Linked DNA regions of Caenorhabditis elegans. The protein of the gene in region 2 purifies or fractionates together with the protein of the main gene of each other region. This does not show direct contact. Each region holds a gene or a part of one and is shown on either strand. Other genes may lie near its edges.

Region 1 (5,186 bases), 7.1 Mb from region 2:
TACGGAAAAAATACCGAAACCAACCGGTGATTTTTCTATGAAAAAATATCTAAACCGATGCATTTTCTACGGAAAAATATCGTAAACCGCTGAAATTTCTGCGGAAAAATACCGAAACCGGTGATTTTTCTACGGAAAAATGCATCAATCGATTAATTTTCTACGGAAAAAAAAAATCTGAACCGGTGAATTTTCTAGTGAAAAAATACCTAAACGAGTAAATTTTCTACGGAAAAAATACCAAATCCGGTGAATTTTCTACTAAAAAAAATGTCTAAACGGGTTAATTTTCTACGGAAAAATACCTAAATCGATGAATTTTCTTCTAAAAAATTCCTAAACGGGTTAATTTTCTACTGGAAACATACCTAAGTCACTGATCTTATACGTTCTTCTAAATCATTTGAATGCAATTTTCATATGATTTCCCGACATTGTACATATACTTGGTACCCTGCCATTTTCCCATGGTTAACTGCCACATCATCAATGTGCCTCAACCATTGTGAAAGGTGTGACGATGGACGTCCCAAATGGCTTTATTGATCGTGTGTTGGCTGGATTCATCGTTCGATTTTATTATTCCACGACGCACGATGTGCATGAGTGATGTTAAAATTATCGGTTTTTTTCTACGGAAAAAAGCATAAATCGGTATATTTTCAACGGAAAAATCGTAAACCGTTGAAATTGAACTTTCTTCTATGTACATCGCTATTGAGTTGATATACGAAATTATCATTCCAAAAGCCCTGCGATTATAGAAGTTAGATTCTCGAATTCCCGACAAATGTGTTCTGTAACTTGTTAAATTTCCATTTTCTTGCCAGGTATACAATATTCCATTTGTATGGCGAATGTTAGTTCGGTAGATCGTTGGTTTTAATGATTACACGAATTGTGAATCATAATGCAATCTTCTTCGCTTTTCTACGGAAAATGTTCGGAATTTTCAACACATTTACATATTTTGAGATGATTTTCCCGTAACTCGGTGTAAATTAGTACTCTATACTGTTAAAACAAATTTAACAATAAGATAAAATTAATCTTATTATCGATATCAATCAATTAGGTCCCTGCGCCATGTACCAGGGATGGGCGACAATTTCCGTTCGGCAATTAGGCAAATTGCCGATTTGCCGGAAATGTTTAGAGGGATTTTTTACAAGACGGAAACACTTAAAACTGTCTTTTTGAATTTTTCCCGTTTTTCTACATATTTTCATAGAATTTGCAACCTTTTCGTGTCTCGCATTGCCACCCTCACCCTCCCTTTCTTTCACCTTTTCCGTCAGTTTTCGTTACATAGAGGTCTCGTTTTTCAAATTTTTCCAAGTACACAATTTTTGAATTCTCCTAATTTAGTGAGCCTGAAAAGCCTAATTTTTTCAAAAGATGGTGTAGTCGAAATTAAAATTGTCTCCGAATTTTATTATGAAACCTCTTGAAAACTTCTCAAAAAAAAAATTATGACGGCTCAAAAAATGGCCTGAAATTAGTTAAAATTTGAAATTTGACTTGTCAGCGGCTGGAAACTTACTTTTTTTTTTGAAATTACCGTATAATTTTTGGCATAAAATTAATTATCTTGCGTTTTCAACTAGATTTAGGTAAATTTAAGGTCGATGAATTACCAGATTTGGTAAAATTGCCTTAAATGTACCTAAATCTAGTTGAAAACGCAAGATAATGTGTATACTTAAAATTTGACGGTTATTTCAAAAAAATTGTTTCCAGCCGCTGACAAGTCAAATTTCAAATTTTAACTAATTTTAGGTCATTTTTTGAGCCGCCATAACTTTTTTTTGAGAAGTTTGCAAGAGGTTTCATTATAAAATTCGGAGACAATTTTAATTTCGACTACACCATATTTTTTAAAAAAATAGGCTTTTCAGGCTACCAAAATAAATAGGAGAATTCAAAAATTGTTCAGTGTTTTTAGACAATTTTGAGTCCAAATAAGCAATAATATTTCAAAAAACAAATAATTTTTTGCGAGTTTTTACAATAATTGTCCCCAAAATTGCAATTATTCTGACTTTTTTTTTCAAAAAATCCAAGAAAATTTCGCTGAATTTCCACTGGTTTTTTTCCGATTTTTTTCAAATTCTCCCTTTCACTCTCTCTCTTACAATTACTCAAATCACTCGCCTATTACATTAAAAATTCCCTTCATCTTCCAGATTACAACACAAAAACCATCATGGCTAAAGGCAAAAAACAGCGCCGCAGTGAGAAGATCATACCATTGACACAACTCGCGTTTGTCGTCGATTCAAGAGATCCGTGGGACGATGAGCCGCGTTAGTAGTTTGCAATTTTTTTTAGAAAAACCAGAATTTTTCAGCGTTTTTCTATGAAAATTCCGGAAAATACGAGAAAAATTAGGATAAAAATCGGAGAAATTCAGTAATTATTGGAAAATAACCCTTTTTTTTGGATAGAAAATTCAAAAATTTTTCTCAAAATATTGAAAAAATCGAAAAATTTCAGTTTGTTCGAACTTAAAAAAATTTTTTAACGAAATTAGGCATTAAAAAAAATCGTTGTTTTTTTCTAAAATGGTTTTTGACGATTTTTCACTAAAAATGTCAAATTTTCTATAAAAAAATGCTGAAAACCCGGTGATTTTTTAATAAAAATAATTGGAAAAACGACGAAAATCGATTAAGAATGTTTTTTTTGCTAAAAAAATTTGGAAAAAATCAAAAAGATAAATTTTTGACTCAAAAACGGTGGGAACCTGAGATTTTTTCAACAAAAAAATTGGAAAAACTGAAATTTTAGATTTTTTTTCGAGAAAAATTCCACTTTTTCTTATTATTTTCAGACAATTTTTCGAATTGAAAATTTCAGAAATTCAGAAAATCGTGAATTTTGACTTGAAAAATTTTAAAATTTAAAAAAACAATTTTTCACCCAAAAACGCTAAAAACCTGAGGTTTTTTCCACAAAAAAAATTGGAAAAATTCCAAAATTTATTTGAAAATCTATAATTTTCAGCGTCAAAAGAGGACATCGCTCGTGCACATTTTGAGAATCGCCAGCAAAAACGTGACTATCTGCCGGTCACAACATCCAGAGAGCTCCGTTATGCAGTAGAATGGCCAAGTGTTGTGAAGAATGTTACCGTACCATATTATCAAAATGTAGGGTTTTTTTTTGTTGAAAAATTTGAAAAAAAATCCTGTTTTCCCCCTGAAAAATTGCAGTTAATTTGAAAAAAAAATATGGAAAAATTAGGATTTTTCCGGAAAAAATGCCGTTTTAAGAGTTTTTTCCTGAAATTTACGAAAAAAATTGATTTCCATAATTTTTAAAACGATTTTCTAAATAATTATAAATTATAAATTATCAGAAGCTATTTTTCATTTTTTTTTTCGGACGAAAATTTTTCTATTCACCGTATTTATACTGCTGATACCTAATATCGATGTGAAAAAATTCAAAAAAAATTCCCAGATTTTTAATTAATTTTTAAAAATCCGAAAATCCATTGGTTTGTTAAATTAAAACGACAATTTTTGCTTGATAACCGTGCCGCAGTTGTGTGGATTTACGAGATTAATATTTTTAATTCATTTTTATTTAATTTTCACACCGATTTTCCCGATTTTTCTCGTTTTTTTCCTAGTTTTACATTGAAATTCTTGTGATTTCCATTAATTTATAATTTTTTATTAATTAAAACAATTAAAATTACATGAAATATTCTATCTCCAGCAGAAGGTCGATTGTTTCATGTAATTTTACTTGTTTTCATAAATAAAAAGTCACAAGAATTTCAATGTAAAACAACGAAAAAAAAAAAACGAGAAAAATCTGGAAAATTGGTATGAAAATTAAATAAAAATGAATTAAAAATATTAATCTCGTAAATCCACACCTGCGGCACGGTTATCAGGCAAAAATTGTCGTTTGAATTTAACAAACCAATGGATCTTCGGATTTTTAAAAATTAATATAAAATCAGGGAAATTTTTTTGATTTTTTTCGCATTGATTTTCGGTATTAGGAGCATAAATAGGGTCTAAAGAGTAATTTTTAGTAGCAAATTTTAATTGTCCATTACACTGAAAATGAGAAAAAAAGTGAAGATAATGCGAATTTATTTCTCAAATTTTCTCAAAAAAAAAATCAATTTTTTGTTTTTTTCCAGGAGTCCCAAGACACAAGCCAGGCTCTCTGTGGACGTTCCCTCGTGTCAACTACCGTAAGCACCAATCCATCGTGCTCCACCGCACAAATCGACGTCGCCGCGTTCGAGCAAACCACCAGAGAGCTTGTCGGCCGGGCCGCTAACATGAAAACTCGTTTTTGGCTTAAATTTTGTGTCGTTTGGCCACTCGGACCACAAGATATTCGACGGATTCACAGAGAGGTTTGTTGGGAAAATCGGAAAAAATCTATTTTTAAAAAAAATTGGTTTAAAAAAATCAGAAATTAAAAATTTTGTTTGGGAAAAAATGCAGAAAATTTTTCAGAAAGTTCAAAAAATCGATGAAAATCGCAGAAATTAATTTTAAAAAATGTGGTCCACTAACTTTTATTAGAGAAAATTCAAAATTTTCGCTAAAAGTTTCAAAAAAAAAAACAGAAATTGAAGGGTTTTTGGAGAGTTTTACTAAAAAATTTTTAAAAAAATCACAAAAAACAGGAAATTCTGCCAAAATTCAAAATTTCATGGGTTTTCCTTATTTTTCTTGAATTTTAAAGAAAAAAGTCATTTCAAAATTTAAAAAAATTCCCAATAAATTCAACAATTCCCTCCTTCCTTCCAGAATATCAATTTCAACAAGCGTCGCTGCGAATACCTCACCTTCAACAACACGCCTACCGCCTACCTACTCATCGACTCGGATGGCGACCCAGAATACACAAAGAACATCATCCGCCGAAAGCTGGGCTCCGCCGCTGCTCCGTCTCCACCGATTCTACTCGCCGCGCCGAACAGTGGCTACGCGATTCGATTCCGACACGGTGAAGAAATGCCGACGCTCATTCAAAAGTCATCCGAGTCGCAGTTTGCGCTGGTTTTCGACGAAAAGTACACGGAATTCACGAAATGCTCGGCTCGTGTGTTCTACGAGAGACTTTTGAGATGTCCGCTACGTTTCGATCGAAAGTTGGAGCAATCAGAGAAGCTTTGGATACAGAAGAATCTCAAGAGAAATGATTTGGCT
Region 2 (5,268 bases):
TTTCGATTTTCACCAAAGGCGCCGAGAAGACGTCACATAATGGAATGTGTTTTATGGTGACAAACTGGCAGGATTCCAAGATTTTGGTCATTATTACATATGAACACAAAACTAAAACATCTGGCAATGCGGGAAGGATGAGTCAGTAAAAAAATTGAAGTTTTTGAGTGAACTTTGCAGAATATTGAACGACCTAATAACTGATCGGATGAAACTTCTTGTTGTTCTGCAAATAAATTGGCATTACATCGGATTCTATAAACATAGTTTTACAGAAAAGTTACTATCAAGAAAAATGTTGAGCAACGTGAGGTTTTTTGTTATATTATACTTTTTAAAAACTATCTGGACACCATCTTACTCGCTTCTACGAGATTCTTTTAAAAACGAACATTTTCTCAATCTTCTGCTCCTGTTGTTTAGGAAATCTTTACACTGCACACAGAAAAAAATCCCTTAATCTTTTCAGTGTCCCAACCAAGAACTGACTACACCCTAAATAGTTTATTAAAGGCAGAGTACTCGGATGATGTGCTCCACGATTGATCAGACTTAAACGTCTCAGGACATACACCTTCGCTCGTCGTATACAAAGCCGAAGCCAATCAGAAGGTACCGCACAGCACATTTTCCATCGAGAACTCTGTCTGGACTTATAAGTTTTCGCTCGTTCTTTTTTGTTTTGACCTACCGCGTACTCGCGCGCAATCTCATTTTGATAACCCGTCGTCACCGCCCCATCAGGCCCCGCCCTATTCCAGCTAGAATAAGAGCCGAAGTTTTCTTCATTTTTGACCTTTTCACTTTATCCTTTTTGTTTTGTCTTTTTGTATCGCTCCCCTGTTACATGAATTGTTAGAATTTTGTTAGTATCGATATAAATATTCATTACTGCGCAGACAAAGAAAAAATGCAAAGCAGAGGAACTGGTGGAAGAACCTAACAGATGAAGCAGGTACAGTGAAAACTTAAAGTTTGCAATAAATGTGCAGCACGTTCATGCACAAATTTTATAATTCATTTTATTTTGGAGTCATGTAACAGTTAGATATATTTTTCAAGATTAATAAATTTAAACGCTCTTCTGATGTTTATAAAATAAAATGGTCTTTCAGGCTCACAACGCGAAAAGAAGAGCAAATGCTGAGCAAGATCGTTTGGAGCTTGCTGAAGCCGCAGCTATCGAGCCGCAGCTATCTTTACAATAAATTTGTTGTGCGTGCATGCGAAAATTTTATAATTTAAGGATGCCGAGCCAGCAAAGGAGAATGATTCTGATGAGGAAGAAGTTTCCGACGAGGAGAGCGCGATCACTGACGAGACTTCTGTATACTGGTGGAATCGTGACGATCCCTACTACTCGGATGATGATTCAGCACCTCTTCAAATTATTTATGTGCAATGAGGTGGCACACACAATCAAATTTTTTTTTGATAGTGTAGCTTGTAGCTCGAAGAAACGACATTCTAGTCTATGATACTTCTATATCACATATCACTCCTCCATCACTTCTCGCTTATTTTATTCCACTGCATCCCTTTTCATTTTGTCCCAGTTTTTATGATTAAACCCTCCCTGTGAATTTTTAACCTTGAAAACCTAAACTCGTTTAAAATTGCATATGATTAAGATTCTGATATGTTTTTTAGTGCATTTTCCTTGTAAAATAAATATATTTCCAGCAAATCGGTTATAAATGTTCATTTTTTTCCCACTGAAAATCTTGTCTACCTGCCTGCGAGGCGACATACGTGTCGTCTGAGATACGTTCTTCTATTATATTAAATAAATCCTCAAATATTTATAAGTTTATTGCAAAAAACGACTACTGTGGAAACCCCAAGTATACGGAGATCACGGTAAAAATTTGGAAGGCATAAAATGGGCACGAAGAAATTTCTGCCTTCTATTGAAACCTGAACGGTTTTATTTACAAGAGGTTTACAAATTTGAGAATCCACAAACACAATGTTTCAAAAACAAATTCAATTTATTTATATATAGGTACAGTAACCTAGAAACCAGTTTGATTCTCAAAATTTGATGGACTCTCGAGAACAGCAAACTACATATAATACTCTCGTTTTGGATCAATAGTGTAAAAGAAAAGAGAAAAGGAGAGGGGGGTGTCACCCCCCTTGCCCCCCCCCTGTCTCTTCCTACTCTTTCTCTAACATTCTTTTCCTCTTCTCTCTATCTACACCCCCCCCCCCATCTCTTCATTCATACCAACCCTTTCCCTCGTTTTTCTTACAAATATCGATTCAGATATATTTATATACTCGTCGATTTAATGTTAATTTTCTAATCAACTTCCAAATTTCAGTATTCGTCATGGAATCCGACGGACTTGAGGAGTTTGATTTCTCGCAGCCACTTCATTATGCGCTCTCCCAACTGAATGCAGATCTCTATGCAGGAATTGAGCAGGAACCCCATTTTGAGACTGTTCACTTTCCCAAACCAGCATCTTTATCTGCAATGGCAGAGGAGGATGATGACGAACGGCCACCGACTACAAATGAGATTATTGATGATCTCGTGGAAAAGTTTGATAATTATCCAAAAATCGTGACTACTATGATGCAGAGAGGTTTGCTCAAAAAACGGCAACAGTGCAGAAAGTGTGATCGAATGATGCATTTGAGAAGGAGAAAGAATTGCTATGAGGTTGGAGATTTTTATACTATATTTAAAATTGATCAGTCAGCTTTACCTACGTGTCTAAAAAGCAGACTTAACTTGTCTTGATTGTCACCTACGCCTAGAAGAAATGTAGAGTAGGCAGCGCAAAATGCCTTGTAGGCATGCATTTTTGAGCCTCTAGTGAAGATTTTAATTTCTAATTGTTGTTCTTTTTTTCAGTGGCGCTGCCGAACAAAGGATAAGAGAGGGGACTGCTCGTCTTGCTCAATAAAATTTGGAAGTTGGTTCGAGTATACCAAGTTATCCTTCAAAACTATTTTCAGTTTTTTGATCATGCACTGTAAAAAGTAAGTTAAAGCTGGTTTTTATTTTATATTTGTGCAAAAGTGAGAAATAAAACTCTGACCAATCAGAATAGTAGGACATGTGCCTTGTTGATTAGTTGGTGGTTTTTTTTCTCATTTCGCGAAAATTCAAAGTCAATAAAAACAATGTTGAATAAAGTTAGATTATAATTAAATTTTGAATAAAACTCAACTTTGAAAACATTGTAGTTGAAAGCTTGAATAATTTTTAACAATTTAATTGAAAAAATATTTAAAAAGTTTCAACACGTATCTTGGTATCAAAAAGTTCAATTAATTTTTCAGCTGTTCCACAAGTCACATGGCCAATGAGCTCAAATTATCAACGCATACAGTGAATGAAACTCGGAAAGTTGTCTATGATCTGACAGATAAAATCGCATCAAAGTATCCCAGAATTGGACAAAATCAGGGAATGGTGTACATAGAAGTGATTCGAATTGAGCCAAAAAAGGCAAACGACTTCATGTACACCATTTTGGCAGGTGAGTATGAGTTTTTAAAACATCTCAAAGATCCCCTACTCTTTCGTCACAGCCTTGGTTGAGTACGTTGCCTTTCATTTAAGAACTCTTTGTAGGCACGTTGGTAGGCATGTTGTTCTTGCTCGTATACATTAAAACTGTAACAATTGTTTCAGGTCAAGAAGCAAACTCCAACAACTGTTTCGCTGTTGTGATGTCTGATGAGATGCCAAGTACAATTGAAAAAGTTAAAATGGAAAAAGTCAATTCACATTCATCAGTTTCAATGATCAAGACTGTTAATGAAAATTTCACCGCTTATGCAAGGTTGGTAACATCTTTAAATTTCTATTCTTTAAATTTTCTTCTTTTTTTCAGTCAAAGCGCAACATTCTTCGACGAGTCAAAAGTCTATTCAAACCCAAGTGATATGTTCTTCACAAATCTTCGCAAAAATCATCCGGAAAGTGCACTCAATTCTGAGCAAGCATTCCAAAGTTGGTTCAATGATCAAGTGGTGAGAAAAACCGAAGGAAAGCGAATGCTCGAAAAATGTGTGGAGGAGCTCAGGACATACACGACATCATAATTTAATTTTATTACGGGGGGAATTTATTTTTGAAATGGTTATGTATAACCATGTACGATCTTACGTGTATTTATCTCACTGGAACGAAGCGAATAAATTACAATTTAATGCTAATAATTTACAAATTTAAGAACAAAACAATTAAAACAGTCCTAGGAAGTTGTTGTTGATGGCAAGAATTGCTGTAATTAAATTAAAAATTAGAATTATACTTTGATTCTTTTCTAATAGAAAAAGTGAGCTTTTAGGTAAAGTTTACCTGCAATAAAGAGCATTGAGACTGTAGCAAAGCTGGAACTCTTGTTCAAATCGGTTAAGCACCACTGGAAAAGTTAACATGATTAAATTCAAAAACAAAAAAAAAACAATACCTGATCGATTGGTTGATCTGGCTTGATAGTATTGGCAAAGTTTCTGAGAATATCTAAATCACAGTATGAACTATTTTGAGGACATCCTTGAATTCCCATAGTCACATCTTTGAATCCACTTCCGTCTTGCTCGTGATATACCATTTTGAAGTATGGTTTCTTGTCGACACTATCAATGTAAAGCTCTAAAAGGACTGCAGCAGAATACAATGGATATCCACCAGACGGTTTTACAGCGTATTCTTCAATTAGAAGTGCGGAGAAGAAGGCGTAGATTGTGGTGTCGTGCTGGAAAATATTTTTTCAACATTTTAAAAATATTTAGAACCATTGTTTTATGGTAAAATTAACTTACAGCAGAGTAAATGTAATTCTTCAAATTATTAATCCATGTGCAATTTGGAGTTGTCTGACCCTGGCACATCAATTTGAGATTTATATGCATAACCATATCATTCAAAATTGGTCCACCTCTGACCTTTCGAGTTAACACTCCTACATCATGTCCGTTGACAATGTTTGGAACAGCTGAAAAATAAAATTACACTTTTATGAGTTGTTTTCTCAATTAATTGAGTCGCTCAGAGGATGGGGAAATTTGAAGTTTTCTCGGCGCCCATTTTTGACCAGCATTTGACCTAACTTCCCGTCAAAGTTTCAGTCATTTTATGTCCAACTTTTCAAAGTTTGATTTTTTTTTGATAATAAAAAATTAGTCAAGAAATGAGATACTACTGCCGAGCACACAACAAATACGTTTTTTCTTATCACTAATACGATTTAAAACTATTTAGAAAAAGCTTCAGTTACAAAGATAAATAATAACAATAGT

The links.
Region 1: the proteins of EGAP2.1 (region 2) and Y57A10A.31 fractionate together in Caenorhabditis elegans (co-fractionation; one large-scale study listed by BioGRID). This does not show direct contact.

Annotation. Positions count from the first base shown.
Region 1 is NC_003280.10:12,287,199-12,292,384, forward strand, and holds the start of Y57A10A.31 (RING-type domain-containing protein), read left to right. Parts: upstream 1-2,186; 5' UTR 2,187-2,206; coding exon 2,207-2,306; intron 2,307-3,006; coding exon 3,007-3,152; intron 3,153-4,162; coding exon 4,163-4,384; intron 4,385-4,784; coding exon 4,785-5,186.
Region 2 is NC_003280.10:5,229,097-5,234,364, forward strand, and holds EGAP2.1 (DDE_Tnp_ISL3 domain-containing protein), read left to right. Parts: upstream 1-2,314; 5' UTR 2,315-2,335; coding exon 2,336-2,671; intron 2,672-2,866; coding exon 2,867-2,994; intron 2,995-3,297; coding exon 3,298-3,497; intron 3,498-3,652; coding exon 3,653-3,803; intron 3,804-3,854; coding exon 3,855-4,065; 3' UTR 4,066-4,179; downstream 4,180-5,268. Other genes in the region: EGAP2.2 (Ribosome biogenesis GTPase RsgA), read left to right, coding at 947-955, 1,116-1,208; pho-1 (Intestinal acid phosphatase), read right to left, coding at 4,207-4,247, 4,325-4,388, 4,437-4,724, 4,792-4,964.